Notamacropus eugenii: one gene and its partners. The protein of the gene in region 1 interacts with the protein of each later gene in a pairwise test. Links are inferred from orthologs where the notes say so. Each region holds a gene or a part of one and is shown in the gene's direction. Other genes may lie near its edges.

What was found.
Region 2: the proteins of NUTM1 (region 1) and LMO2 interact in binary tests that used the Homo sapiens proteins (3 or more experiments, as listed by UniProt). The two-hybrid records come from large-scale screens. The link is inferred for Notamacropus eugenii from reciprocal best matches to the Homo sapiens genes NUTM1 and LMO2.
Region 3: the proteins of NUTM1 (region 1) and ZNF277 interact in a two-hybrid assay, tested with the Homo sapiens proteins (2 studies listed by BioGRID). The two-hybrid records come from large-scale screens. The link is inferred for Notamacropus eugenii from reciprocal best matches to the Homo sapiens genes NUTM1 and ZNF277.
Region 4: the proteins of NUTM1 (region 1) and SAMD4A interact in binary tests that used the Homo sapiens proteins (3 or more experiments, as listed by UniProt). The two-hybrid records come from large-scale screens. The link is inferred for Notamacropus eugenii from reciprocal best matches to the Homo sapiens genes NUTM1 and SAMD4A.

The regions. Positions count from the first base shown.
Region 1 is NC_092878.1:17,208,244-17,215,450, reverse strand, and holds the start of NUTM1 (NUT family member 1), read left to right. Parts: upstream 1-4,197; 5' UTR 4,198-4,309; intron 4,310-4,529; exon of another isoform or gene 4,530-4,899; intron 4,900-6,909; 5' UTR 6,910-6,932; coding exon 6,933-7,207. Other genes in the region: NOP10 (H/ACA ribonucleoprotein complex subunit 3), read right to left, coding at 2,241-2,381, 3,719-3,772. UniProt on the Homo sapiens protein: Plays a role in the regulation of proliferation. Regulates TERT expression by modulating SP1 binding to TERT promoter binding sites.
Region 2 is NC_092877.1:17,525,295-17,532,763, forward strand, and holds the start of LMO2 (rhombotin-2), read left to right. Parts: upstream 1-4,458; 5' UTR 4,459-4,639; coding exon 4,640-4,680; intron 4,681-7,469. UniProt on the Homo sapiens protein: Acts with TAL1/SCL to regulate red blood cell development. Also acts with LDB1 to maintain erythroid precursors in an immature state.
Region 3 is NC_092874.1:141,837,226-141,844,533, reverse strand, and holds the start of ZNF277 (zinc finger protein 277), read left to right. Parts: upstream 1-4,307; 5' UTR 4,308-4,499; coding exon 4,500-4,578; intron 4,579-7,308. Other genes in the region: DOCK4 (dedicator of cytokinesis protein 4), read right to left, coding at 3,797-3,833. UniProt on the Homo sapiens protein: Probable transcription factor. Involved in modulation of cellular senescence; represses transcription of the tumor suppressor gene INK4A/ARF, perhaps acting via the Polycomb group (PcG) complex PRC1.
Region 4 is NC_092872.1:333,739,980-333,747,130, reverse strand, and holds the start of SAMD4A (protein Smaug homolog 1), read left to right. Parts: upstream 1-4,129; 5' UTR 4,130-4,267; intron 4,268-4,638; exon of another isoform or gene 4,639-4,905; intron 4,906-5,544; 5' UTR 5,545-5,939; coding exon 5,940-6,135; intron 6,136-7,151. UniProt on the Homo sapiens protein: Acts as a translational repressor of SRE-containing messengers.

The DNA.
Region 1 (7,207 bases):
TTTGAGCATGCTTCCCATCATATTGCCTTTACCCCCTCCTCCTTTTTATCCCTAATGCTTAGCACAGTGCCTAGCATATACAAGGAGCCTAATATGTGCTTACTGATTTCCTGAGCAGTTTGGGTCTTTCAGATGGTATGTGACCAGATACCATTGGAGACCTGATAAACATCACCTCAGTACATTCAGCCTAATTTTATTGTGCTGGCATATCCATCATCTTAATATTTGAAGGTTACCAATGAGTTCTAAGTACCTCCTCCCTCATGCCCACTAGTACTATCAACACTTGTTTCTTCACTTATTAGCCGCCCATTGCTCCCTATAGGAATCTATCTCATCAGCACTCTTACCTGAATTATTTCTTCCCTTCCTAGTTCTCACTTCAGAGATCTAATTCAAACATCAATCATGTTTTAGTTGTTGTTCAGTGTTTCAGTCACATTCAACCCCTTGTGACCCCATATAGCATTCCTATACTACCCATGGAGTTTTCTTGGCAAAGATACTGGAGTGGTTTGACATGTCTTTATCTAGCGGATTAAGACAGATTAAGTGACTTGCCCAGGGGTTACACAGCTAGGAAGTGTCTGAAGCTGTATTTGAATTCAAATCTTCCTGATTCTAGGCACAGGACTCTATCCACTGAGCTACCTAGTAACCTCCTATTGTTCAGTAAGTATTAGTCATCACTCTCACCTACATACACTTTCAAGGTTGGGTACTTTTTGAGGAACTGGGAGATTAACAAAGGGTTGGCAGGAGGCAAAACCATTCAATTCAAGAATTTGGATAAATAAGGATAGTCAAAAAACTTGTGTCTTCATATTTTCTGTTGGGGAGTGACTCAAATATTCTTCACTAAGTGCAGAAAAGCAACAAGGTTATCCTTTTGTCTATAAGACGTAAATGCGAAGACACAGTCTGCAAGACTAGGTCAACTTGTTAACCTCATCGTCTTCCTCAAAAGAACCATCTAATGCTTTGACTGTGACAGTGGGTTGTCTTGAGGTCTACAAACAGTGAGAGGAAGATCTCCTGGTTTAATAAAAAAGACTTTAGACCATACCCCATCAGAAAAACAGACAAAGAATTAGGTTTTTCAAAGTATGACTCTACTGCTCCTGGAGGTTTCCTTGTACTCCCTGTGCTTAAGTTTTCTTTAGGTTAACACCTCCCAAAAGACATTTGCACTTGTGGGTTTCCCTACATGCAAAGGGAGAGAGGGAAATAAAGTCAAGAATTTTGGGGTTCTACCACAAAGCCCTAAGGTAAATCTTTGTTGTTTACCGTCAGACATGGATTGATCAGAATATTAAAACTTAATTTTTTAATCTTTCTACTTGTTCAACCCTCAACCTGAAAACATTTGTCACAATGTGTGGCTATTCTCTTAAATTGATCTGAGCTTCAGAGGATTCTTTGGTTAAAATTAATCTGTTCAGAAATTAGGAGAAACTGTGAGACTCCAGAGAATAATAGCCCACACATGCCTGGTGCCTTAAGGTGTACAAAAGGTTTTCCTTAGGACAAAGATAACCTCTTTGGTCACTCAGTCCATTCAGAAGACATCTCTCATGGGCACTGCTGTGTGTGCTATGTTGAATATCAGTGTCACTATAGAGGGGAAGGAATTCAAGACTATCCACAGGACTTAAGAATTTAGAGATAAAAGAAACTAGACCATCTAGTCCAATTTGATTAATTTTTACTGAAGAAAATGAGGACTTTTGAATTCCAATGCAAACATGCTAGTATTCTAAAACAATAATAAAAATGGATATTATTTTTTGATCAGAAAAGGGAATAAGCATTTCTATAGCTACTTCATGCCAGGTGCTGTGTTAAATACCTTTTTACAAATATATTCAGATCATCCTGACTCCAGACCTAGTACTCTATCCACTAAGCCACCTGGCTTCCTCTGATCAATTCAAAGACTTTTCTGCCCCCAATTAAAAAGGAAAAATAGATCTCTAAACCATTTCAGTTTTAATAGCCTACAACATTGATTAAAAAGATATGGCAACTTTAGACTTTCATTTTAGCTTGATTGCTACCAAGTACAGAGAGGAACACAGGCAAACTGCAGCTAGATTCTAAGAAGCAAGTGTACAAAGGGCGTCATTTTAAACTTGTGACAATGGGTTAAGAGAGTCAAAGATGTAAGCTCTTCCTGAATGAGGTCTCCTAGATGTAGGACAAGCTTCTTGTGCCAGAGTCCTGGGTGGTTTGGTAATTCAGAGGACCAATCGTGCTTGCTGGGTCATGAGAACCTTGAATCTCTTCTTGATGGTGATACGGTGTCTGGAGTACTTGTCATCTGGGGAGAATCTGGCTGGGTGCGCTGAACAGGTCTGTTGTCCTGCAGGGTCTGTTTTCTGTTAGGAGAACAAAGAGAACCGAATGTGAATTCTCACATCCAACACTGCCACCAGTCTAGTACAGGCCCCTATTACAGCTATGAAGTGATTTTCCTAAAGTACAGGTTTGATCACATCACCCACCTACTCAAACTTCAGTGTAGCCCTATTGCCTCCAGTATCAAATACAAAACGCATTTTTGGCATTCAAAACTCTTTATAACCTAGCCACTACCTATCATTCCAGTCTTCTTATACCTTACTCCCCCCACCACATATTCTTTGATCCAGTGATACTGACCTCCAGGCTATTTGACAAACTTGGCACTCTTATCTCTTGGCTCCAGGAATTTTCTCTGGTATGCCCCATGGGTGGAACACTACCTACTGAAGTCCCAACTGAAATTCTACTTTCTACAGAAAATCTTCCTCAGCCCCTCTTACTTGCAGTGCCTTCCTCCTTGTTATCTCCTATTTATCCTGTACATAGCTTGCCATATATATATATATACACACATTATAAATATACACACACACACATATATTTGTCTACGTTGTCTCCCTCACCACATCGTAAGCTCTTTGAGGGTACAGCTTACTCTATCCCCAGTGTTTAGCACAGTAGGTTTACTGATTATTTTGGAGCAGAACCAGAGAAAAGGTCGAAAAGACTCGGACAGGCAGGGAGGACGAAGCTGTTTATTTCTCCTCATCCATCCCCTCGCCCCAGCCCCAGCATTACCCTGACCAACAGACCAGACCTGGGCTAAGGACGATTAGGTCCCTAGGCTGTGGGTGCCGAGGGTATGCAGGGACAACCTTTTCCTTCCTTCTGTTTCCCACAGCCTTGTGCATAGTAGGTCTTCATGAAGTCTGCTGACTGTGAGGTGAGATACTCAGACGACAAGGTCTGGGATACACGCTGAATTCCGCGGGATTTAGGGCTGGGCGTGGGGAGCGAGCTCCTTCCAAGCGCAAACCCCACCCAACAGCCCCGAGTCCCCCGGCAGCGCCCCCCGGAATCACCACGGGGGGTCCCCGCTGGAGGGGGGGGGCTCTTCTTTTTACACTCTATGCCGGCGCCAAGCACAGGGTCCGGGCACAACGAAGGCTGCCCGCCTCGGCCTCCGTCCTCCTCCTCTTCTCCCTACACGACCCTCTCGGTACAAGGCAGTGACCCGGGCCGGCCGCTCCCCTCCCTCGGCCTCGGCTCCTTCTTCGTTAAAACAATAACGAGGCCCGACGGAGCCGCCGGTAAGAGCGTCTACACAGGCCGCTGCCCAGCTCGGCCGCGCAGGGCGGGAACGGAGCTCCCTCCTGCGTCTCCACCCCCCAAGTGCGCCTCCTCTCCGTACCTTTAGGGTGTAGACCCGATCCCCTTGCTCGTTGAGGTAATACTGCAGAAACATGGCGGCCAATTCCCTTCGCGAGGCGGGCAGGCCACGGGAAGACTCGGCCACAAGCAGGCTTCCACCTCCGCCTTGGCCCGGGAGCGCGGACCCACCCCCCGACCACGTGTTTGTTCCAGGGACACTTCCGGGAAGTAGAGCCCCCGCGGCATGCTGGGAGGTGTAGTCCCCTCCTCTTCTCCTCCTGCCCTCCTGAAGGGGGAGTCCTCGCCCTGGGATTGCACTAGGGAGCGCATCCCTATGCTGGAAGTTGGGAAGGGAGTGGGCTTCGAATGCCAGGGGAGGCCATTAGCCACAGCCCATTCAGGGATGGAGAGGCCGCTGTTTTTGAACCCAGAACTTGAATATCCCTCCCCTGCATGCAAACTGCAATAAGTAGTCCCATGGAAGAAAAGTAGCGCCCAGAGCCTTAGAGGGGCGAGGAAATCCAGGCGCCGAGGGTGCCCAGGCCGCGGCCAGGCCCTGCCCTCCATCTTGTGCGGCTGAGAACATGGAGGCGCAGGCCAGCTCAGGCCCTGGCTCCCCTTCGCCCAGGGGGTAAGTAGAGGCACGAGGGCCGGGGCGCCCAGGCCTGCGCCGCACCCTCCGGGGGTGCAGAGGCGGCCCGGCCAGGTGCACGGGGAGGGGCGCTGCGCTCGGAGGTGGGAGATGGGGACCTGCACCGCCCACTCACCTGGGAGCCGCGGGGGGGACGAGGCTGGAAGGTGCCCCTCCGCCCCCACCACGCACGTGGAGAGCTGGCGAGGACCCGCCCAGCCTCGTGGCCCAGACGTGGAACTGGGGCCGGCCACGTTGAGTGGCTTGCCCATTCAGGGTCGTCGCCTGAGTTGGGTTCTGAATTCAGATCCTCCCCGCCGAGCTCTCCTCCCCCTCTTCCCTAGAACATTCCTCGGCCCCCTGGCCTGGCCCTCACTCTTCCCTCCCTTCCCCCACTGCGTAGAATGCACGGGTTTCCAGGTTCCAGTTCTGTTTTGATTCAATCTTTTCCCTTCTGCTGCCCTCAATTCTTGGGCAGCTACTGTGACCAGGTGGCCTTCTGGGCCCTGGCCCTGACCCTTGTGCCATCCTGGAGGCTGCTAGGCAGCCCCGATTAGTGCCCAAGCCAGAGGGTCCAGTCCCAGATGGAGGTGAGCGGAGCTGGGGGCCTCTCACAAAGATCCGTGCCCCCTATCCCCTCGAGCCCCAGGGAAAGAAATTTGGGACTGTAGCCCTGGGGATCACCTTTGTGACCTGCACTGTGGGACCCAAGAGGAAGACAGACCAATGAATCCATCCCATGCTCAGGCAACAGACCCGGGGAGGTTGGGGAACCAGTTTGGAGCCTTGGGGTTCACAGAGCCAGCCTCTTCAGAGCTGATTTGGGATGCCTTGGAGGAACTGAGCCAGGGAGCTCTGAGTTGAGAGAGAAGACCCACTAGCAGATTGACTTAAATAGGCAAGAAGCCTCCAGTCACTAGGCATTAGCCACCTTAAAGAAGGACAAAAGGACTTAGTAGAATTAGGTCTAACACTTACGTCCTTCTTTCTGGCAGAGACCCTGTTTTCCCAAGTTTTTGCTTTAGAAATTGATATTTCAGCAGGGATATATTCAATCAGAGAGGACAGAGGGAATTGGATGGAAAAGACTTTTGACAGAAATTTGGCCAGAGTGGTCCTCTTTTGCAGAGGCATGCCCTGAACCTACCAAGAGACTAGGAGGCTTGGGGAGAACCTCAAAACAATACCCCCTCCCCCCTTTCCCCATAGATTAATATAGAATACAATAACTGCCCTAGGGTTGAATACCTCAGTTTCCTTGACACCTAGAAACCTCTGTTTTTGTTTGCCCAGGGAACTTCTGGAACTTGTTTCTTGCATTTATCAGGGGCTGAAGGTTGGGGAGTATTGGGGAGGTGGTTAATACATAGTTATTCAACCACAGCTGGAACATAGGCAGTACTGATTTACTCTGAGTTGTTTCATCTATCCTAGGATCCTAGGCCCTCTAACCCATTTCATCTTGTTCCCTCCCTCTTTCTGTTATGGCTAGCATGTCCTGACCCTTCCCTGCTTGTCATCAGAGTGATGAGCTTGTCTACCATCATCCATGACTCCATGATCTTATTTTATGGTCAGGGAGGTAAACTGTGTGTGAGTTTCACGTCGTTTGTGGGATAAGGTGGATTGTTAAATTCTTGTTATTATTAAATGGAGGCATCTCCTTAGAAGGCATCTTATGTATTATATGTGGTGTTATATTTTCTTGTATTCCCAGTGCCTTGTGCCTCGGAAGTGCTCAATAATTACTTGTTAATTTGAAAGCCCTTGTCCTTTCCATTACTGAAGGAATAACCTAGGTAAACGATAGAGAGAATCAGAATCAGTGTTAGGAGCAACTGCCACACTTCACGGGGTCTATCTGCTAGCTCTCTGAAGCGTAAGAAAACCTGTCATTTTTATCCACCTAGTCTACTACTACCTCCTTTTGACTAGTTTTTACTCCTCTGGAGTGGAGAATCTCTAGGAATCTGTATGGGCTTCCCCTCCTTACCTTAAGAAGATTCTAGAAGGAAGATTATTAAGTGGCTAGAGATGGCTGGGAGTAGGGGGAATGTCTCTGATTTTACTTCTATAAGCAGAAATGAATGAGTTGTTAATTGGAATGAGAGTTTTAGGGATAAATTGGTTATGGCTATAGAACTTTTTTTATTGTACTTTTAGATGAGAAGAGGAATAGGGGACTTAAAAAAAGGAGCAAGGAGATGAAAAAGGGGAGGAATGAAGAAACAGGGCCAGGAACCTCTCTCAATTGATCTCTAATTTAGGAACACCAAAGGAGCCTAGGGAAGGGCCAGATTCTAGATTCTCCCATCAGATGCTCAACCTCCTAGTTGGGGACATACTTTGAGTTGTTATCTCCTGCATGTCAACCCTGTTCTATGTCTTGGGACACCACACAGTGGAGGTAGACTTCTAAGAATATCCTTAAAGAAGTTGTCAGTGATATTGTAGACATTTTTTTTTATTGGACTGGTAAAGATGTTTACCCTATGAATTAGGGGACCAGCTCTGCAATGTATCAGGGTCCAAAGGGTCCCCAGATGTTGAGGCCTCTAGCTGCCTCATTTCCTGCTCCAATCCCTCCTTTTTCTCAACAGCTCCTTCATTGTCTGGACCTGAAATGACCCCGAAGCCTGGCCCTGTCCCACCCTGTACTTCACTTCCATTACCCCCACCCCCTCCAGGACCATCAGACAAGCCTCTCTGGGAGCCACCACCTCAAACTCCCATTTCTTCACCATTCCCACCGGGTAGCCCCCTGGTTCTGTCTGCTTTCCCTAGTACATTGCTGGTGACAGGGGATGGGGGAGCAGGCCCTAGCGGGGGTGGGGCTGGTAAGGTCATCGTCAAAGTCAAGACAGAGGGGGGCCCATCTGAAGCCCCCCGAACTCAGAC
Region 2 (7,469 bases), on another chromosome or scaffold:
TCTCTCTCTCTCTCTCTCTCTCTCTCTCTCTCTCTCTCTCTCTCTCTCTCTCACTCATTGCACACTTAGCCAACAGCAGAAAGCATACTGGTAAAAAGAAACTTTGTGAGAAAAAAAAAAGTTGGCTATGGTGTTCCCATCTGGAAGATTTTACATTCTGGAATCCAAAGATCTATTTATTTTTGTGACTGATTCTTGCCCCAATTCAGAATTAGAGCATGTAAGACAATAACTGGCTTGTTATCAGACTTAATTAAAGCAAAGAAATGCAAACATACTCTTTGCTCTCAGAGATAATAAACATTAATATGTTATTATAAAATTCTTTAAAAAATTCTTAGCTTGTTCATGTTTTTTTAAAAAAAGGATTTATTTTCTTAAGGAAATTGTGAAAGCCTTCATTTTCATCCTCACTGACTTTCTGATCTCTCCGATTCTCAGAATTATAAAACAGTTAGGACCTGGACCCCCATGAATTTTATCCCTTCTTTACTCTCCTTCCTGATTGTACAGTGATTATGTGTGACATTAAATATTTATCACATAATTCAGGCTGCCTGAGAAAGTCTGGGAGGCTTTTCCCATTAAAAGGAAGTGTCTGAGCATGAGAACGTCTCTTATATTAATAACTTAAAAATATATAGTGAAGGCTGTGGATATAGAGTGGCTCCTTTAGCAGCCTCCTGACTCCAGGAAAATACATTTAGTTCATATTGTCAGGGACCCAGTTCTTAGAGTAAGAAGGCCGGAGAATCATAGGAGGGATAAAAATATATGCATCGTAGTCCAGGGATTAATCTTGACGTGGTCGTGGGGACTGGTCTCTGGACTTACAGCCCTGAAGGAACAAGCATTTGATTCCTCTCAGTACGAATTTATTAAGCACCTACTGTGTACCAGGCACCATGCTAAGTGCTGGAGATAGAAAAGGAGGCAAAAGACAATGCCTGCCCTCAAGGAGCTTATAATCTAATGGAGGAAGGTTGGCAAGCAAAAAAATATGTACCAAAAAGCTGTGTACCACGTAATGATTTTTTTTATCTTTTTAAAAAAATTCTCTGGATTAAGGGCTGGTTCACTGCGGGTGGGAAGAGAAGGTAATAAAAGCAATATAAAAACAAAAGATATCAGTAGAATTATTTTTTAGAGGAATAGCAAGTTCTTCCCTGAATTTCTTTTCTGGTAGCAAATGGATGTGGTGCGATAGGGATAACATGGGATTTAAAATAAGACCACCTAGGTTCAAATCCTGGCTCTGGGCCTCAGTTTCCTCATCTGTAAATGGATGGAATTGGCCAGGTTAGCATTCGAGGTCCCTTCCAGCTCTAATTCTGTCTATCACTCTATGCTCCCAAGTCAGGAAGCATGAAATCAGAGTTGGAAGGAGCTATAGAGATCATCCAGACCATTTTCCACATGAGGGATGAGGGATGAGGAGCTCCTGGTCCAAGGTCACTGGGTTAGTGCATAGCACTGCCCTCATTCTATTGCAGATCCAGTGCTCTCTCTAAGCCCCACTGTCCCAGGGCCCTTAAGAAATACTTTTTTTAAAAGTTTATAAGTGCTTTTTAATGAGGTTGTTTAATGTGAGTTTTGTGGAAATGGAGTAGTTGGTAAATATGAGCCCCTTCCTCCCACCCTTCCTATTTCTACCTTTGGAGGTGAATATAAAATAGCTCGAAAATCAGAACATCTCATTTGGCTCCTTCTGGATGCCTGGAGGGAAGGGCAAAAGAATCTTCCTGCTGTTACTTATCATTAATGCAGGGCAGTGTATTTGCAGTTATTTACTGGCTATTTATAAGTGAACAGGTTTAACCACTAGATCGGTTCAGCATTTTCAAGCAGGGGAGAAAGCCCTGCACAGGCTCTGAAATGTCTCCCTTCTCCCCCCACCTCTGCTGAACTGGGATCTCTAGCACTGCAACCCCAGGTTAGGGGTGCCTAACCTGGCCTGTCCCCAATATCTGGACAAACCTTCCTTCCATTCCTAAGGTCAACCCATGCCCTTCCTGTGACCTATACTCCTTACAGGCAAGCTATGTGCCTAGAAATAATGCTGTGGATCCTAGATCCAAAAGTGCCAGGGGCCAATTCGTCCAACAACCTCCTTTGGCAAATGAGGAAACTGAGACCGAAACTGAAACGCAGATGGTAAGGGCCAGAGGCAGAATTTGAAACCAGAGCTTCCAACTCCCAAACCAATGCTCTTTCCAGTGCCCAGCATTGTCACTCCAGTCTCTTGGGGTACCATGGTACCAGTTCACATTGATATAAGGTTATTGTTTAAATGTAGCTTCCTGACTCAGATTCTTAAATCATGCCCTGCTTGTCAATACAAGCATTACAAATTCAAGGATTCTTAAAATTTCATCCACCCCAATAGTGTTTTAATAAACATTGTCTCTGACTGAAAAAAATTAAAATGTAGCTTCCTCACAGGATGCTTCAAGACCCAGGAAAAGGAGAGCGACCATCTACCGACTCTTTGAAGGGGGATTTTAGCAATCTTCCAGCTCCTTGATCCAGGGCAAGCACTTGTGAAGTTCCTGCTTTGCTCAAAGTATCTTACTAGGCTTTGATGGTACAAGACAAAAACCTTATTTTTTAAAGGAATAGCAAGTTCCTTCAGGAATTTCTTTTCTGCTCACAAATGGATGTGGTTCAATAGGGAAAACATGGGATTTAGACCTGAGTTCAAATCCTGGCTCTGGGCCTCAGTTTCCTCATCTGTAAGGCCCCAGCCCTGAAGGGGCTCACATTCTACCTGCCTGGTCCACTGGATAGAGTGCCAGACCTGGAGTCAGGAAGACCTGAGTTCAAATTTGACCTCAGACACTGTGAAAGTCACTCCACCCTGTTTGCCTCAGTTTCCTCATCTGTAAAATGAATTGGACCATTTAAAGTTCTTGAGGTGAGGAGTAACATAGTCAGATTTGTGCTTTAGAAAAATTATTATGGGAGATGGATCAGAGAAGGAAGAGATTAGATGAAGAGACCACTTAGGAGGCTTTATAGTTTACAGAGGATCATAAATCTTCAGCTGAAATCCAAGCCCCGCCACTTTGCAGTAGAGGAAAGTGGAGCCCAGGGAAATTAATACACTTGCCCAAGGTAACACATGCAGAAAGCATCAAAGGCAGAATTTGGTCCCAAGTCTTGCAGACCCAGCCTACTGTCCTATCCATAAGAACAGATTCCTGCAGATCACACATTGACTTAGGAAACCACAAATTTACATTATCTAGGTCATATTGTATTTTTGTTTGGTTAAACATCTCCCAATTATATTTTCATCTATTTCAGACTTCTGGATTGTTTGACATGTTTGTCACTCCAAACTAGGATCTAAGGCTTTCTGAATTCTCCCACCTCCACACCTTTGCACATTTGTTGTCCTTGCCAAGACTTCTGGCTCCACAGCCCGGGCTCTTTCCATTATATCTCTCAGTGTCTCAGTTGATCTGCCACGGTGGGTTTGGGATTCCATCTCTATTACTTAATTTGTGGCTTTGAGAGAAATCGCTCCATCTCTCTATAAAATGAAGGGATTGGACCAGAGTAGCCCTGAGGTCCCTCCCAGCTCTACACCTGTGATTCGAAAAGTGGTCCTGCTTCTGCCCTTTGTCATCCAAAATGTTTTTCTCTGGGGCAAGCCTGTTTACTTTCAGCCTTAGTTAAGAGAAAGGAAGATGGGTAGGGGTGATTCCCAAAGGATGGTTTTGAGGTGGTTCAGGCCACCTCGGCCCCTGAGGGGTGGGCAGTGCAGCGCCCAGCCAGCCCCCCAGCCCTGGCATTGCCCCCTTTAAGAAGCCAGGTCAGTCGTGAGGTCGCTGCTGTTTGGGTTGTTAATCCCCCAGGAGCCCAGTTTTTTTTTTTTTAAAGGGAAAAAGGAAAAGAAAAGAAATAAAACGGGCAGCTGTCTCTTTAAATGTGATTTCCTTCTATTGTATTTGAATCGTGATCAGGAAAAAGGAAATGAAACCAGAGACAGAGGGAGGCTGAGCAAAAAATAGACATTTCAGCGAGAACGGGGGGAGACCTGCACGCCCCCGGACCCGCCCCCTCCTCCTCCTCTCCCCTCCCTCCCCGGCCGCCTCCTGCCCGCCCCATCACACACGCGCGCTCTGAAAGCCCGAGCCCAAGGTGTGCGGGGACTCCGGGGCGCAGGTTCGCGGCGGGGACGGACCGGAGCCGGAGCCGGAGCCGCAGCCAGGGCAGGGGGACCCCGAGCCGAGCCTGCCGCACCGCAGCCGCAGCCGCAGCCGGGCCGGCAGGGACAGGCGCAGGCGAGGCTCCCCGGGATGGAGGGCTGAGTGCCGGAGCCAGGAGAGCGGAGCTGCGCGGGGGCCGGCGGCCAGGCAGGTCCCATCCCAGCCCATCCCCGGGCCCGCACCCCGCTGACCTCCCCGGCCCCCCACCCTGGGGATTCGCCCGCCTTGGCTCTGCCGCTGGCTCTGCGAGGGAGCCCGTGAATGTCATTGAGGGCGGAGGGCAGAGCCGGCCGGTGAGCAGCCGCGCTGCCCGAGGAGGGCAGGAGGAGGAGGACCAGGACCCAGGGGTGCCGAGCCGCCTGCCTGGCCCTGCGCGACAAAGGAGCCCCCACCCCCACCCCAGCAGCGCGCCCCCCCCTTCGCCAATGTCCTCGGCCATCGAGAGGAAGAGCCTGGACCCGTCCGAGTAAGTGGCCGCTCCATCGTCCAGCCTCCGAGCCGGGCTTGGGTGGAGGCGCTGCGCCCAGGACCTCCTGTACCCCGCGGGGATGGGAGGGAGGGCTTGATGCCAGAGGGGTTGCTGGCGATCGCCCGCCGCGCGGGGCACCCCTCCAGGGGGAGGGCTAGGGGGTCCCAGGCGCTTGAGTGACCCCGTCCCTGGGGAGATGGGAACCCCCTGCGGAATGGATAGATATGCCTGGGCTGGGTGGGGTGAAAGGGGCAGAGGCTGGGGTCCTGGCCGGGGTCTCACTGCCCCGCCGGGCTCAGCCCGAGCCCAGCCGAAGGTAGAGAACGGACCGATGCTCAACTTGTCCTGGTTCCCGGAGCGAGGAGTGCCGGGCAAACTTTGTCTGAGCTCGGCCGGGTTGGGGCTGCAGGTGGAAGGGGGCGAGAAGGCTCCGGGAGCGGGGGGGCTCCGGCCCCTCTCCCGCCCCTCTCCTTCTTCTCCCTCGTGTCATTCCGATAGGGTCCCAAAGCTCGCTTCTGCCTTCCCCGGCCGCAGAATAGGGGGGGTCTGGGAGGAATGAATGGGGCTAGAAATGTCTCTGGGCTGCCCTTGTGGGCTCTCTGCGCTGCTGGAGGCTCCCCGGCTGTCTGACGTCTAAAGGCACCGAGAGGCCAGCGGTGCCAGGAGAGGCAGGGGTGGCTTCAAGGCTCCTGCTTTCAACGCTGGGCTTGTGGGGGGACTGGGGAGAGGGAAGAAAGCGGCATTGGGGATATGTGGGAAGGGGAAAAAACCCTTTCCCTTAAACTCATGTTAACATGTATTCGCTGCCAGGTGTGGGGACTTCTTTCCTCCCTTGAAGCCCACGCAGGCTAGTCTGGTGAGAGGATTCCTTACACCTCACTGAAGGGGTCAGTTAATAGAGATCCACTTGTGCTTTCTGAAGGCTTTTGTTTTCCGTTTTCATTTCTCGGAGCTGTTTGAAATCATTGGACTTTCCTGCCTGTAGTATTTCCCCCTTCAATTTTCCTCCACATTGTTTACCTGGGCCTTACCCTGAGATAGAGGGCATGGCCAGTCTCATAAAACCCTGGAAGGGCTCCTAATAGAATTGAAGAATAAATATCACAGTGCGGTTTGGAAGGTCAAGACCTGAGTTCCAAAGTAGAGAGCTTTGTGATCATTTTCTTTAAATAAATTCCCCTGGAGGGGTCGGATAGATGGGGGCAAATCTTGATGCATTTAGTGAGTTGTGGACTCATAAAAAAATCTCAAAGTACATCTTGGCACAAAAATACCCTGTAGTTGGTTTTTTTCCTTGTCATGGTCAGTTTAACTCCATAAACATGTATTAAGCCCCTGCTGTGTGCAAGAGACCTTGAGGAAAGGCTGCATAGCAGAATACTCTAGGTTTGTCAGTGGATACTGAATGCGGCTGAGGTCAGTAAGCTCTTCATTCACTAGCCCTTTTATTAGCCGATAAATTGGAAGGGATCAGTTTCCTCAAGGATAAATATTAGATATTTGCTCTTTGGAACTTTGGGCGTTGAAAACCTGACACCTCTGCTATCCCATAAATGTTGTTGACTTACTAACTCCATATTCTGGGTCATTCTTCCCCCCCCCCCCCCCCCCATTCCAAGGACACTTCAGTCCAAGTCAATTGTGGAATGACCAGTCAACACCGGGGTGTTGTCGATCAGAATTTTAAAAACAAACAAATAGAAAATCTCAAGAAATCATCTAAGAAATTCAAGCTGGGGTTCTGCGTTAGAAAAGGGGCCAGCAGCCATCATTGGCCACTTGCTGCGTAGAAGCCTGAAAACACTCTGGGAGCATTTCAAGTATTCATTTGGGGGTGCTCCCCCTTAGTCATTGCCTTGAAATTCTCACTGAACAGAACTCTGACTGTGGATAATGAGCTATTATAACACCAATTACAGTAAGAACTCTGTGAGATAGAGGGCGGGATAAGATCTCATCCTGTCCAAGGCTATCTTATCTCAGGCCATCTTAATACTTGCGTTTGCTTCACATCTGAAAATGTAGACTGCTTTCTTCTAAGATATTTAACTCCATACTTACAGGAGATTGGTCATTTGTGGCAACTTCTCCATGTCGCAGATAGATAAAATTGCCTTCTGAGCTGGCTTGAGCTGGGTCGATTCATTAGAAGTAAGCTTCTGGAAGGCAGGGGCAGTTTTTCCATTCCATTCTGAATCCCCATCTAATGTATAATGCCTCAGGCTTTTAATTTTTTTTTCTTGTCAGACTTAGGATTTCCTTGGCATAAAGAATTCCTAGCTATGAAACTCTTTCTTTTAAGGCAAAGGGGTACCTAGAGGTTTGCCTGGGGGCACTGAAAGGTTAAATTTCTTGCACAGGGTCATACAACTAATACCCATGTGTCCAAGGTTGTCCAACCTGAACCCAGGCCTTCCTGACTCTGTCCATTAAGCCAGGCTGCCTTGGACTTAGTAGACATTTAATAAGTGTGAAAGATTTTTTTTTTTTGCATCCAGTTATTAACTAGCCTTCCCTTCCTTTCCCTTCTCTCCTCACCTTAACTATTAACACATTTTCAAATTTTTACCATTCTGGGGGCTTGGAATGTTGAAGAGATTGGCATTTAATATATGGTGTAATAACCATGGAGTCTCCTGTCCATTCTTCCATCCACTGGACTCCACTGCCTCTCTGTAAGCAATCTAAAGGCAATTCCATTTTCATTCCAGTCAGTTGGCATCAGCTGAGCATGAATTCTTCTCTTTCATAGTTGATTGGGTGGCCATATCATCCACAACCATTCA
Region 3 (7,308 bases), on another chromosome or scaffold:
GCCTCTTTTCTATGCTGCATGCCAGAATGTCTCTTCATTGTAGGCACCACACAACTATCTGCTGAAGGAATCTTGGAGCAGTTACGCCTTCAATGCTCTGAACTATTTCTGTGGGCAATCCCCACTTACACAGAGAAGGAAGGTGACCTCTTTATCTTTGTAAAATTATTCAGTCTGCAGGAAATCAGAAAACATTTTGGGGGCGGGGGGAATCTGCTTTACTCACCATCAGAGGAACTCCTCTTGAAAGGATCAGACAGACTGTGAAAGTGAGCAACTGCCACCTGGATCCTAGCAGTCCCTCCAAGAAACCGGGTGGCTTTTGCTTAGCTCTTCATCTTGTTTAAAAATCATTTTTGGCATGCCATGGAAAAAGTATATACCACACAGCAAGCTTTGCTCTTCTTTCTAAAGGGTACATGTGATTAGTAGCTTTAAAACTGTAAAGCTACCGCTTATGGGAATGTAAATCATCACGTAGTCTGACTCCTTCATTTTACAGGTAAAGAGACTGAGGCCCAACAAAGTTACTGACTTGTGCCTAAAGACACAAAGCAAGTCAATGGTAAATTCAGAACTGGAACCCTGGTCTCTGGCATTTGAGTCCAATGCCTCTTTTCTACTCTGCTAATTGATGGAGTCAATAACCAGAATTGTTCAACTTAAAAAAAAAATCCTCATTTCATCATGAACAACTTTTTTTAATCACACTAAAAAGAAAAGAGTTATATTATGCTCAGAAATTTAGTTTGATTCTTATCTTTCATAATTTTCCAATTTTAGACAATTCAGGCCCATGACAAAACATAGATGGTTTTGACATAAAGGTGGGTTATCACTTAAACACTATAGGCTATTCTATTGCCCAGGTGAGAGAATTTACATTTTCAAACCACTTTGAAATATATATATGTAATATATATACACACACATACATATATGTACATCTACATATACACACATGTACATGTATACATATACTATTTATTATAAAAGAAAATGAAGAATATGCATTATATTTGTGAAATGTTAACACAGATATATTAAAGACACAAATATTTTCTCTGTGGACACACACGGATCACTACAGATTTTTTAAAAAGTCCCACAGTAAAAGTGGTAGATTTTCAGAGGTATCTGAACACTTCAGGTTGGAAAGGATCAATTTATTTCAATTACTGATGAAACTGAACTGAACCAAGAATTGCAAATCTTTGATAACCACAAAATACTCTTCCCTGGTATTCATAAGAACTACAGAAAACACACACATTTATATCAAGGGTAAAAGGGAGGAGGAGGAGAAGAAGCCTTGAAGCACTAACAGCCACAAATAGTTCTCTCCATGGTGAAGAAAGAAGCTCCGCATGCAGGAGTATCCTAGCAAATTTTTCTCAGTACTCCAAAAAATTCTAACAGATGGATGGTGAACAACTAAGCAACCACAAGCCAAATGCTTGAAAAATAATAAAAAAAAATATTATTAGCCCTCAAAGGTTTGCAGTATAAATGACAAAGGGAAGCAATAATTCTGGCAAGAAATACTCATCTTTCCACTCTCCCCCTTCCTTTGCCACCTTTTCCCACTCAGATAAGTGGCCTCCAAATCACAACTACCACCACACAAATCTGAGTGATTTTGCTGCAGCTTGAAATACTTCACTGATAATATCCTGTTTGCTACTCCAGCAAACCCTAGAGTGGTTTATCAGACCCTGCCCACAGCAGTAAAGAAAAGAGACTAGGGGAGCTAATCGATACTAGCAACCCAGCTGTGACCTGGCACATAGAAAAATAAAAGAAAATGAATCCCATCGATAATCTCTATAATTTAACACTTGGAAGAAAGCAACATCTGGGATCAACTCCAAATGGGACGGGGTTGCCCTGAATGGGTCTTGGCTTCTTGCACTAATTGTTAAACCCGGTGCAATGAGATGATACTGAGATGATACCCTCTTCCTCAAGCTCAGAAACAAAGACAAACTCTTTAGGCTTCTACCTAAATATGGAAAAAATATAAAAGCGACCAAGGAAAAGAAGGAAGCTGGAAAGAATGGCTGTCAAACATACTCCAAACACATCTAGAAGAAACTATTGTCTTGCTAACCACTCAACACAGAACGAAGGCTTTTAGTAGGTCAAGCAAAAGATGAGCTGACTTTGTTTAATCACTTCACGAAGTCAGTTCAGAGGACTCCACGGTCTCTCCTCCAGGCAAAATTGGGGAGAGAGGGTCCCCTGTGAAAATGACTCCCACAAACAGCACTTTGATCTTCCTTTTTTAATTGCAGGAAACGAATGAGATGGGAAGAAAGCAGATTTTCCACAGTATCCACATCTACAGAGATTTGCCCTTTTCAAAAGCACTGCCTAGCGGCAGTAGATGGCAGATAAGAAATAAGGGGATAATAGATAAATTCTATAAATGTTCTGATCTCAGAGAGACCTTTAGGGCCGTGGTTAGCCCGTTCGTGTTTCAGGACCTTCACTGAAAGCCCCATTTCTTTCTTTTCTTTTTTTTAAGGCAAATCCTGAAAACCCAGAAAGAGGGGAGGGGGATGGGGAGAAGGGAAGAACCCAGTTTAATTCAAACAAGAACGGGAACTCTAGTCCGTATTAAATGGGAGGAGGGAGAGGAAGGGAGAATCCAGCGTTCATCAGTCAACATTAATGTCCTTTGTTGTTCACCTTTGCACAGAGGAGCGAGTGTTACACTGTTTTCCTTTTTCTCAAAACGCCAAAGTCAGACAGGTCTTTCCTTAAAACGTACCCTCCTGCCTCCGTCTGACCCACGGCTATCCCTAGCTCACTCCCCAGAACTGAAAATGCACTTTCCAACTGACCCCCCACCAAAAAAACCCCACCCCACGCCCGGCTCCCCGCAGTGACCCCAGGATCGGACCGGACGCAGTAGCCAGAAGTGGAAACATAACCAAGTCCTCGTTCCTTTTCAAATGACAAGGAAAGGGAGCAATTCAACGGAAATTCACAGAGAAACTCCCCCAACCCTCAAAAACACTTAATACAAAATACAAACAAAAATGTGCGGGGGGGGGGGGGTGGAGAGGAGAAGGGCGTTGGGGAAGGAAATAGAACGGGCTCAGTCTCCTGTCAGAATTGTCCTTTGTAGATTATTGCACATTTTGCACTCTGGGGATGTTCATGCGAGCCAGAAGGAAGGGTTTGCCTTCCCTTTCTGGTTTTGTTGGTTTCGGGTTTTTTCCCCCTCCCCTTCCTCTCTTCTCTGTCCCCAACCCTCCTCCCGGGAAATCTCTGCAGCTGATTGTCGTTTCAAATCCCGGGGTTTGGGGGGGAAGGGACGAAGGGGAAGACTAGGAAAGGGGCTCGCCCTTTCCCTTGCAACTTGACACACACATGCACCCATCTCCACTTCCAAACTCCAAAGACGGAGATGAGAGTCGGCAACGCAGAACTAAGGGATCCGTTCCCTTTGCATCGGCGGCTGATCGCTAGCCAGCGGATCTGAAAGCGGAGGGTGGTAGAGAAGGGGGTGGGTGCGTAGGGTTTCGTTGGGGCGGGCGCGAGCCCCCAATCCAGCGAGTTGGGGGGGGCAAGGATGTGTGTATCTCTCTCCGCTTTGAGATGATCTGCATAGCACAGCACCGTATCAAGGCAAAAGAGGGAAACAAACGGGGGACTATATTATGCCCCAACTATCCATTTCCAGCCTCACCTAAATATAGGGGGCAAATAACAAGAGCAGAAAAGAAGAGAAAGAGGAAAATTGCAAGCCCAGGAGAGAGAATAAAAGTTCGCCCGGAGAAAGACTCACCTACGCCGTATTTCTCGTGCTCTGTAGGTATCCACATGGCTGAAGGAAGATTCTGTTGTCCCTCTCTCACACCTCCTCTCAGGAGCTCAAAACAATAAACCAGAAGCCAGAGTAGCAGCAGCAGCGAAAGGGCTAAAGGCAGCTCAGCGCTCTCAGTCCTTGGGCAAGAGGGAGAAGGGTCAGGACTGGAGCCTGCCCAAGCGCTGACAGTGCGCGGGCTGTGCTCCGACTGATGCTAAGGCTGCTCGGGCTGCTGGAGCTGGGGCCGCTGCTGCACCTCTCCGCAGCTTCCTCAGACGCGCTCCCGGGGATTCAGACGCGCAGGCATTGTTCTGATTCACTGAACTAAGCGAACACGCCGGGGCACTCTCGGGCGCACCGCCCCCACTGCTTTCCTCCACTCCACTCCCCCCCTCTTCCCTCCTCCCTCCTCTGCACTCCCCGATGCATGGTGGGAAGTGTAGTTTTCCACCTCACTCCAGAGAAGGGACAGGACACCCTAGCGATTGGGGTGGGGCTTATGGAGGTCCCTCCCATTCTCCCTTGTTCGGTTCTGCTGAATAAGAGCTGTTGGTGGCTACGTTGGGGAGTGGAGGAAAGGCTGAAGTTGGGGGTGGGGTGAGGTGAGGTGTAAACTGAGTCCTAGGTTCTCATTGGAACTAGACCCCACCTCCTCATTTCTCTCCCCCACTCTCCCAGCGGAATGGCTTCTCTTGGGATTGAGGGGGCTGCAGCTGGAGAAGATGGTGCTGGCGGCAGCAGCAGCAAATTCAGTGATGCAGGTGAGTTTGGTGGCCCCCTTGAAGCAGGGCCCTTGGTGCCAGTGGCATTAGTTTTCTTTCCTGCTTTCTATTCCAGTCGTCCCTGCTGCAACACAAACCCTCAAGTCAAACTGACTTGTAGGAGCTAGCCAGAGTCTTAAAGGCTGAGCTTTCTGCAGCCACGTGTGCCCTGGGAATGGCGCTGTGAACCCGGGGAGGGCAGGAGGCGGAGGCGCATATTTGGCAGCTGTTTGCCTTAGAGCGGGTGGAGAAAGGAGGAGGAAATGCCACCTCCCCTCCCCGAGCTGTTAGGGAACCCTCTCTTGGTTCTTCCCTTCCGGTTCTGAAGTAGCTCCCCACTTGAGCTCCTACCCGTTCAATCGGTTTCGGTTGGGTGGATTGATTTGGGGGCGTGTATGTATGGCATTGCAAATTAGCAAGTCTTTCCACCTCCATTTCCTCAGCTTAGACTCTTTTGGGCTTTGTTTGGCATCAAGAAACTTGTTTTATGTGCGTCTTGCGTCTTCCAGGTATGAAATGTTCGTTCCTGGACATTTGTGTAGCGGTATCTTACAGTTTTCTTCCGCACTGGAGGAAGGCTGTGTCCGCTGACCTCTCTGGGATCTCTGCCAAAGTCTCCTTGAGGGTAGAATACTGTTGCTGGAACTCTTGTCAGGGAACCGAGGACATGAAGGAAGGGAAGAGGAGGAGAGAGCTTGCACTCAGCTTCAGAGACGATTCAGAGGTCTCTGGACTTTTCAGTAACACTCTTTTGGGTTGCGTTTTGGCCATCACAGTTACTTTTACCAGTCTATGGGTTTGGGTTCTCTGGAGGACTTTTGTATGGTGTCAGAAATAAGAAACTAAACTTTGAGGGAGGAGCACCCTGGGTCAGAAACTAAATTTGGGGGAGGAGCCTCTTTGGTGAGCAACCAACTTTGGGGGAGGAGCCTCCAGGATGTGTCTTTTCTGGGATTTTAGGTGCAGGATCATAAGGAAGCTCAGCCTCCTCGTTTTACTGATGGAGAAACAACAATCACAAAAATAGGAGCGGGGAGAGAGTTAAATTACTTTCCCGGGGGTGCACAAGTAGTGAGTGACCGCTCCAGTTCTGCCTTCTGCCCACCCGTCTCAGATTGCTTTCCTACTTCCCGGATTCTTCCTCCTTTCCCCTGAAGGAAAAGAGGGCCTCCGGGCAAAGAATGCAGAGAGCTGTAATAGTGATTTGGAAGTTGCCATTTCAGGAGGGGAAAAAAGTTATTTTTGCCCTAGATAAGGTTTGATACACCTTTGCTGAAGGCTTTTTTGTTTTGTTTTTTGCTTTTACAGTTAATAATTGTGTGGTCAAAAACTGAGTCTCATCACCACAAAGTTAAAAGTGCTGTTACCAGCCACTTCTATTATCAAAATTCCCTAACCCTGAAATTATTTTTTAAAAGTACCTCTGTCAGTGCTATATATCTTAAACTGGCTGCTGAGTCAAATGTTTATCCACCTCCACATCCTAGACAGTTAATTATTGAGTTATTTGGTATTCATTTTGGTGGACCAAGTGCTTGACCCAACTCTCATTTGGGGGAAACATATAATTAAAGTTCTCTAGATGCTAGCATCTCAAGAAGGTTATTTAAGACCCAGAGATGTCACATTTAGAATTGTCAACAAGCTGACTGTTGAAGAGAAAATGATTCCTAAACTTTCACATTTGTTTCTACAAGAGGTTCTTAAAATGGAAATGGACCAAAATGAGAAAGCTGAATGGAAAAGTGACTCTCAGTTTTTTGTTTTAATGCCATTAGAAATTCCTGAAATCAGCATTAAAGGAGGGGACAGTGTAATCTAATGAAGGACTACCAAAAGATGGACTTGAAACCATTCGCTGAAGACAGTTTACAAAATTACAGGAAATGGCTTCCTAGCTCAGACCAGCCGTTATCTCTCTTGGAATGGACAAAGGGATGTTATAAAGAGAAGCCACCGTGGAGTGCATAGAATGCTGGACTTAGAATCAGGAAAACCTGAAAGGCATTTATTCTGTGACTCTAACTAGTCATTTAACCTCTTAGCCACAGTTTCTTCATCTATGAAATAGGAACAATAATTACTAGCTTAAAGGCTGTTGTGGGGTCAGATGAGATAATATGTGTAAACAAGGCACAAATCTTATTACATCATAAATGTCACATTTATATTAGTTGACTTTCATAACATCGCAGCACACATTTAGCATTCTACCCCCAAACTCCCCTTTAGTAACCCATTCATAACATTACATAAAATTTTTCCAGACTACTTCAAAACTGTAAATTACTATAAAATTTAAAAGAGCATTGTTATCAAACACATTTCTATTTTTCATCAGTAAAAACTCAGCCTAATAAAACATGCATTTTTTGTTTTTTGCCTGTTGTGTATTGTAGTATTCCCACTGAATTGATCTAAAACAACTCCTTCAAGATATGCCTTCTAATTCTAAAGTAGCATGCAATAATGGAAAGAATACTGAATCTGGGAACCAGAAAGCCTTGCTTTGAGCTCTGGCTCCACCTCTTACTAACTTCGTGACCTGGAGTAACTTAGTCAATAAACATTTATTAAGCACCTACTAAGTGCCAGATGTTCTATTAAACCCTGGGGCCGCAAAGAAAAGCAAAAGACAATCTTTGCCCTCTAGGAGCTCATAATCTATTAGGGACAACATTATGCGAGCAACTATGTACAAGCAAGTAAATTATGGGGAACTGCTCTGAG
Region 4 (7,151 bases), on another chromosome or scaffold:
GTTCCACCCTTGCTTATTGAAAAGGAGTAGTAGAAGAAAAGAGCAACGAGAGAGCTAAGATGGAAGTGAAAAATATGCTAAAAATAAGCCACGATAACCTATCAGAAGATCTGGACTGATTCTGTCAGGCCCCAGAAGGAGCAGCCAAAACAGAGATCTGCAGCTCCAGGGTAGTAAGAAGTGGCCCGATGGGACCAGATCAATGAGGTGTCTATTACTTCCTAGCAAAGCTACATAGTCCTTTTCTATCTGTCAAGTATTTTAGCCTGAATGTTCTTTATCTGCTATCTTCCATTTTACGTAACTTACCTACTATAAAATCCTGTTGGCCAGCAGAAATGTAAAGCAACAACGTTTATATTATTTAAATACAAATATAGAGAAGCTAAGGGAAAGAATATTCCTTGTTTTAGAGGGGAAAAGACGTGATTATCAGGATCAAGATGGAAGAGTGAGACTAGACTGTACAAGCCTGGCATATAAATTTAGGATTCAGCTACTCCTAGAAACAAATCATGACCAGGTGAGAGCTGGCTGCTAAGAGGAGCAAAGCCTGGCTAACTTCATTTTCATTTTTGAACTACTGACAGTCATTCTTGCTAGGCTGAGTTTAAAAAGAATGCAATGTCCCCTGAGGAAGGAGGAAACTAAAGTCACTCCTCTCCTTCCTTGTCCTGAAATGGAGACACCTGTCACCATTAACCCCCCCCTCCACTGCCTGGGGTATGCCTTGCTTATTAGTGCCACCTACTGTCTCTATGTAGAGACTTCTCTGGTAGACAGTCAGTCAGTCAGTCTCTGTCTCTGTCTGTCTCTGTCTCTTTCTCTCCCCCCACCTACCCACCCACTCACCCTCACTTCTGCCGGCTCTAGTGGCAGCCTCTGTCTCCAGTCAGGAAAAACCCATCACCCACAAAACATCCCATTCCACTTTGGGATGTTTCTAATGATTAGGAAGTTTGTCATGACACCAAGCCTAAAATATGTTTGTTTGTTTTTTTCACCTTCCACTTGTTACTTCTAATTCCCCCTGTGCGGCCAAGCAGAATGAATCTAATACTTCTTTTGTGTACTTTCAAATATTTGTTTGACTTAATGATCATATCCTCCCTAGAGTCTTTTCTTCTCCAAATTAAACATCTTCAGTTGCTTTAACCAAAGCTCATATGTCATTACTTTGAGACCCTTCATCATTCTTGGATCCTCCTCTTGGATAAATGGCCCACTTATGAATGTCCTTCAACTTTAAAGTCTGATCAGGAAAAAGTATAGTGGGACTATCACCTCCTTATTCCTGGAAATAAATGTATTTTAATGAAGAACAGGGTTAAACCTTCAAATCTTTTTTACAGACAAACTGCATTCTTACCATTACTATTTCCCATCTTGTACCTGCAAAACTGATTTTTTGAGTTAAGACTTTATCTTTACTTAATTTCATACTCTTAGATTCAGCTCAATGTTCTACCTTTCAAGAACTTTTGTCATCCTGTCATTGTTAGCTATTCCTTCTAGTTCTGTGTCATTGGTCAATTTGATGAGCATGCCACTTACATCTTTAAGTCACTGATTTAAAAAAAGTCAAAGAGGGCTAAGAACAGATCTTGGGATGCTTCGCTGGAGACCTCCTACCACCCTGTGGGTTCACCCTTTGTTGTCGAAGAAGATCATGCCATCAGAGAAATGATGACATGACTTCCACTTCACTTTGTTTTGAGTGAGGGAGGGCTGTGCAGGTCCCCAGCCTCACTTCTCCTCCAGAGCCATCTGAATCCAGTGACCAGATATTCATCAGGATGATTGGAGATGAACCAGGATGAGGCATTTGGGGTTAAGTGACTTGCCCAAGGTCACACAGCTAGTGAGTGTCAAGTGTCTGAGGTGAGATTTGAACTCAGGTACTCCTGACTCCTGCACTGGTGCTTTATCCACTCCACCACCTAGCTGCATTTAACACCAGTGACTACTTTTGGGGTCTCGCTATTGACCAGTTCTGAATCCATCTAATTTATTAAGGTCTGGCCTCTCCATATTTTCCATAAGAATAGTAGGAGATACATTATCAGATATTTTGTTACAATTTTGTTATCTATTTTATTATTAACCTCTTCATAAAGTGAAATAAGGTTAATCTGGGATGATGTGCTCTTGATGAAGCTCTGTTGCTGTTGTGTTTTGTAACCACTATTTTCTTTTTGGAGATATTTACTATTTCTTTAATGATCCTTTTATTCTAGAATCTCCCCAAAGTCAAGCTCTTCTGTTCTCTGGTTCAGCCATACATTTTCCCCTTTCTCATTTTCTGTGACCTTTATAATACAACCATTATTAGTGTAGAATAGCTCATTTGGGCCAGGTAACTTGAATTTACTAACAGTGAGTACGCATTCTCTCTGGGTACCAACTCTCTGTTATCCATTTTCTACCCCTGCATTTTCGGTTCAAACCCCTTAGCAGAGAAAACCTAACAAAACAAGAATTTTGCCCTTCTGTGTTCTCCGTTGTCAATTAACCATCCACTTCAAGCAGTTGTCCTATATTTTCTTTGCTCCTTCTCTTCCTCCCCAAAGCTCAAAATAGAACAAAACAAAACAAAAAAGCAAAAACCCTTTCTATTATTCAAATCAGGCCCAAGCCTTGAGAATCAGGGAACTGAGGGAACCACTTTGGTGAGCTGGTGGGGGGGTAGGGGACCGCAGAGGGGTGGAATCCCTCTAGGCACTGTAGCACCTAGGGTTTCATGCCCTTATCTCTGTCAACCTCACCATTTCCCTCCATCTGAATGAACACCACTGTACCTTCCCACGACCAACGTCACCAGTGGAGAGGATCAGCAGAAGTAGGTGAAGTTTAACCCCTGGACAAACTCCCCAGTTCTAGCCGAAGAGTTAACTCAGCAACCATGGGACTAGGACGGTGGAAGGCGAATGCCCTGCCTAAAAATACAAACAACGTTCTGGCAATGGCCAGGAATAAGTCTCTGCCACCGCAGCAGAAAAGTTTCTGTCCTAAGTGTAAAGGACTTTTTAAAAGCCCCAATTCCCTAACCGTCTGTTTATACAGCAAGATCTGGAGAAAACTCAGTCCTTGCTCTCATCTCTGGTGGATAAGTACACATACTGCATGAGTATATACACAGCCTGCTCTGTGTGTTCGCGCCTAGCTATACTTCACAGCGTGTAGCCCGCAGGGAGGACAAGTATTCTCCAGACAGCACAACCCCGTCAAGTTTTCTTTTCTCTTCGCTCTTACCCAGCCACTCTCCAATCCCAGATCCTCCCTCTAGCTCCAAGAAGTGTCTTTCTCAGCCCCCTTTTCCTCCTCCTCTTCCCCCTTTCCCCTTCCCTCCTCTCCATTCTCTCAGGCTGAAGAGTTAAGGAAAAGCACCCTCTGGCTACACGTTTTTTAAAACTCACTTTGGAGAATGAAATTCTGAGCTACGGGTGTGGTGAGGTGTACAAGGGGTTGCAGAAATGAGACCCCGGATTCTCATTCTCATCCTCATTCTCTCTCTCATACACACACAGACACACAGACACAGACACACACACACACACACACACAGACACACACACACACACACAGACACACACACACACACACACACACACACACACACACACACACACACACATTCTCTCAATCTTTGCCTCTCTCCTTGGCTCCGTGGTCCCTGTAACCCAGCCCATCCAGAATTTCGGAGGAGGCCGGGGAAAGGAATTTGCCCAGCCCCACCCCCTTCCCCCTCGACTCCGCCAAACTTCTTTCCCTTTGCTCCTCAGTTCCTCCAACCTGACCCCTCTTTCCCATCGAGCTCCTCCCCTAGCCACACTTAGGGATCCTCCTCCTCCACCCCCCTCCTTCAGTTAGGACTCCCCCCCACCCCGCACCTCCTCCTCCTTTTCCCTCCCCGCGGGGTTGCTCTCCCCCCACTTTGGCTCTTGCTGCCAAAGCCATGATGTAATGGTGTATGTTAATCAGTAGCATGTGGGGAGCTCGACTCGGTCTCGGTCGGCCCCAGTCCTCACTGAGCTGACACAGGAGGCGGCATCAGTGGCTGCAGCGGCGGCAGCCGAGACACTGCCGCAACCACCACCACCACCCCCGCCGCCGATCCCCCCAGCCTTCGGGGAACGCGCCCCCGGACCTGGCCTCCGGGATGGCCCACGTCCGCGGGCCTGTGGGTTCCCCACTCCTCTGAGAACTGCCGCCTGCCCTGGAACCCGCGGTGCGGGGGCGCCAGCCCGCAGCGATGAGCGGGGCCGAGGTGAGTGACCCTTCCCCTGCAGCCCCACACACTTCTGGGGGCCGGGAGCGGGTTCTCTTGGCCTCTCCCCAGCCCAGGGTTTCCTCTTCTGCTTGGGAAGTTTGGAAAGCCAGGCTGAGAGAGGGTGGGTGAGGTATGGGGATGCTTGAAGCCTGAATCGCTCTGAGAGTTGGGTCTAGAGTCTGGGCACATCTCTTCCCACTTCTAGATCCAATCCCTGAAACCTGGGGAAGATGAGGAGGGAGAGGGAGGGAAGGTGGGGGGGTAGGACGGGAAAGCCACAGGAACCTAACTTTTTTTTCTTTGCGATCAACGTTTGGGGGCGTGTGCTGGCAGCGCGGAACCGCATTCTCCGCGAAGCTCCCTAGTCTGCTAATGAAACCATTCCGGGCTTGGGCTGCCAAGCAGCCGCCGGGGTCTTTAGACGGGAAGTCGTTTCGGGGGTGCCAGTGGGGGGGATGTGGACAGCCTCTGTGCCAGACTGACCCACCCTGCCGCGAGAAGGAGGGGGGGAAAAGGGTGTTAAAATGCTTTTATTTTTATTTTAATATCATACCAGGCTTTTTGTAAAGGGAAGACAGAAGAGGGGAGGGGAGTCGGAGGAGGAAGGGAAGTCTGGAGGCTCTTTGCTCCTGCAGGTTGTGTGTTAAGGCTTGGGTGGGAAGAGTTTATTTTTGTCTTTCGCTGCTGCTGCTCAAGGCCTAGATTCAAAGGGGAGTCTGGTGGTTGGAGATGCTGCTTGGTGTAGATGGAGCGGCAGCCGCTAGGCTGCTTCTCCGACAGGAGGAGGAGGAAAAAGAAGGAAGGAAGGAAGGAACCTGGATTCTTGAGGGCCCCCTCCCCCTCGGCGTATTGTAAGTTTTCTTTGCTTGAATGATCTGTTGCAGTTAGCGGTATCAGGTACAGTGCCTAAAGTCCTCAGGGAAGAGAGACCCGTATGCAGCAGGAGGAGGCAGTAGCCGCAGCCGCAGCAGCAGCCACAGGAAACTGCTGGGGTCTCCTCCTGCACCTTAGGAGGGAGGTTTCTTTAAATCTCTCCCCTGGAAACCTCGTTATCTGCCTCTCTCAGTGGTGCATGCGAGGAGGACGGCTGTTATTTTTAATACTCTACTCTTCTACACATCTTTCCCCCGTCCCCTCCCCCCATACACTACTCAGATTATTGACCTGAAATCTCCTAAAATACGTTGTGAAGCGGGAGGCTACCCTGCTGCTGAATCATGCCGTTCCCCTTATCTCCGCCGGTGTCTAAGCGCAGCCAATTTCTCTCTTTCCAGTTGTGAACCTGGGAATTCGGGTGTGAAGAAGGGTCTGACCTGTTGCCCGAAGGAAAAAAGAGCTGGAAACGTCTGAAACCCCTGGCTGTGCGAGAGGAAAAAAAAGAGCTCTTACAGTTGTGTGCCTTGTGGAGATTTTTTCCATATTAAAAAAAATTCCTATGCTACCGTCATCTTCGTTGAGGAAATCAGCAAGAATCACTGAAACGTAACTGAAAGAAGAAGGCAACATAATCTGCACAAATCCATGCACCAAAGGCGATTTTTTTCTAAAAGGACGTTATTCTGGTGACCGCTGAGCTTGCAACTCCAGTAAACTTTGGGGTGGGGGCAGGGTGGGAGGGGGATTTGTATTCGTTTCCCCCCTCTCTCCCACTGAGGCTTCCCCCCTAATCATGATGTTTCGAGATCAGGTCGGAGTGCTGGCAGGTTGGTTTAAAGGCTGGAATGAATGCGAGCAGACTGTTGCTTTGCTGTCCCTGTTAAAGCGGGTGAGCAGGACCCAGGCTCGCTTTCTTCAGATCTGCCTGGAGCATTCCCTGGCGGACTGCACTGAGCTTCACATTCTTGAAGGAGAAGCCAATAACCCCGGTAAGTTGGCTGCAACCAATCCATTTGGACTACCAACTTGTGCTCTTATCTCTCTCCTCCCTCTACCCCCTGTCCCCGACCACAGAAGCCAGGGGACAAGAAATGCACTAGCCCACGGTTTCTTTCTGTATAGGCTTTCCCACCCCCACCCCTTTTCCCTTGATGCTGTTGACTTACCTCAACTTGATTTTTTTTGCACAGTGAACTACTTCAGTCCATTTGGTGTTGTAACTGGGGTACTACATGCTAACTGTGGTAGCATGAATGATTGATTTTTCTTTCATGCAGTTTCCTATGAAATAAGTAAGTCAGATCACGTAGAGTCTGGGTTTTCTGGGTTTCTTTTGGACAATGTGACTTGCTTGATTTAAGCAACGTAGGAAGAAGACCAGTATGGCCCCTAGGAAGTCATTATGTTGCTTCGATATGATCTATAAAGAACAGATGATAAAAATAAAATTCTTATTTTCATTCCTTCACTCCCTCACTTCCCTTCCCCCACTTCCCCCCCCCCCCCCCCCCCCCCCAGTTCTGTCTTAGAATTCTGTGTTAGAGTAACTTGTTCTCTGGACGTGACACCATATACTATTAAAAGGCTGGTGAATGGAATGTGCACATGATATTGTTATAAGTGGCCTTAATCACCACAGGGTACCTGAAGGTATTCCCTCACTTGGGGAAGTCCAGCCCAGCTGGAAGTCTCACCTCTCACCTCCCCCACCCCACTTACATTTTTAAGTGTTTCATAAACTATTTCTGGAGCCCTATTAGCCTCATTCCTGTAACTGAAGCTTTTGTTACACAGCCTGCCCTGATATGAGCAACAAATTTACCTTAAGTAATCTACGTAGAATTTACACAGATATACAATTCATTTATATTTGTGTTTTTAGAAAGAAACTACTAAAAACTACATTTTCAGATTTTTTTCCATTCCATACTTGTTTGAAACCTATTCAAGAATTGCAGATCGCTAATATAGTTGGAAAATCCAGTGCCTTTTCTTTTTGCCAGCT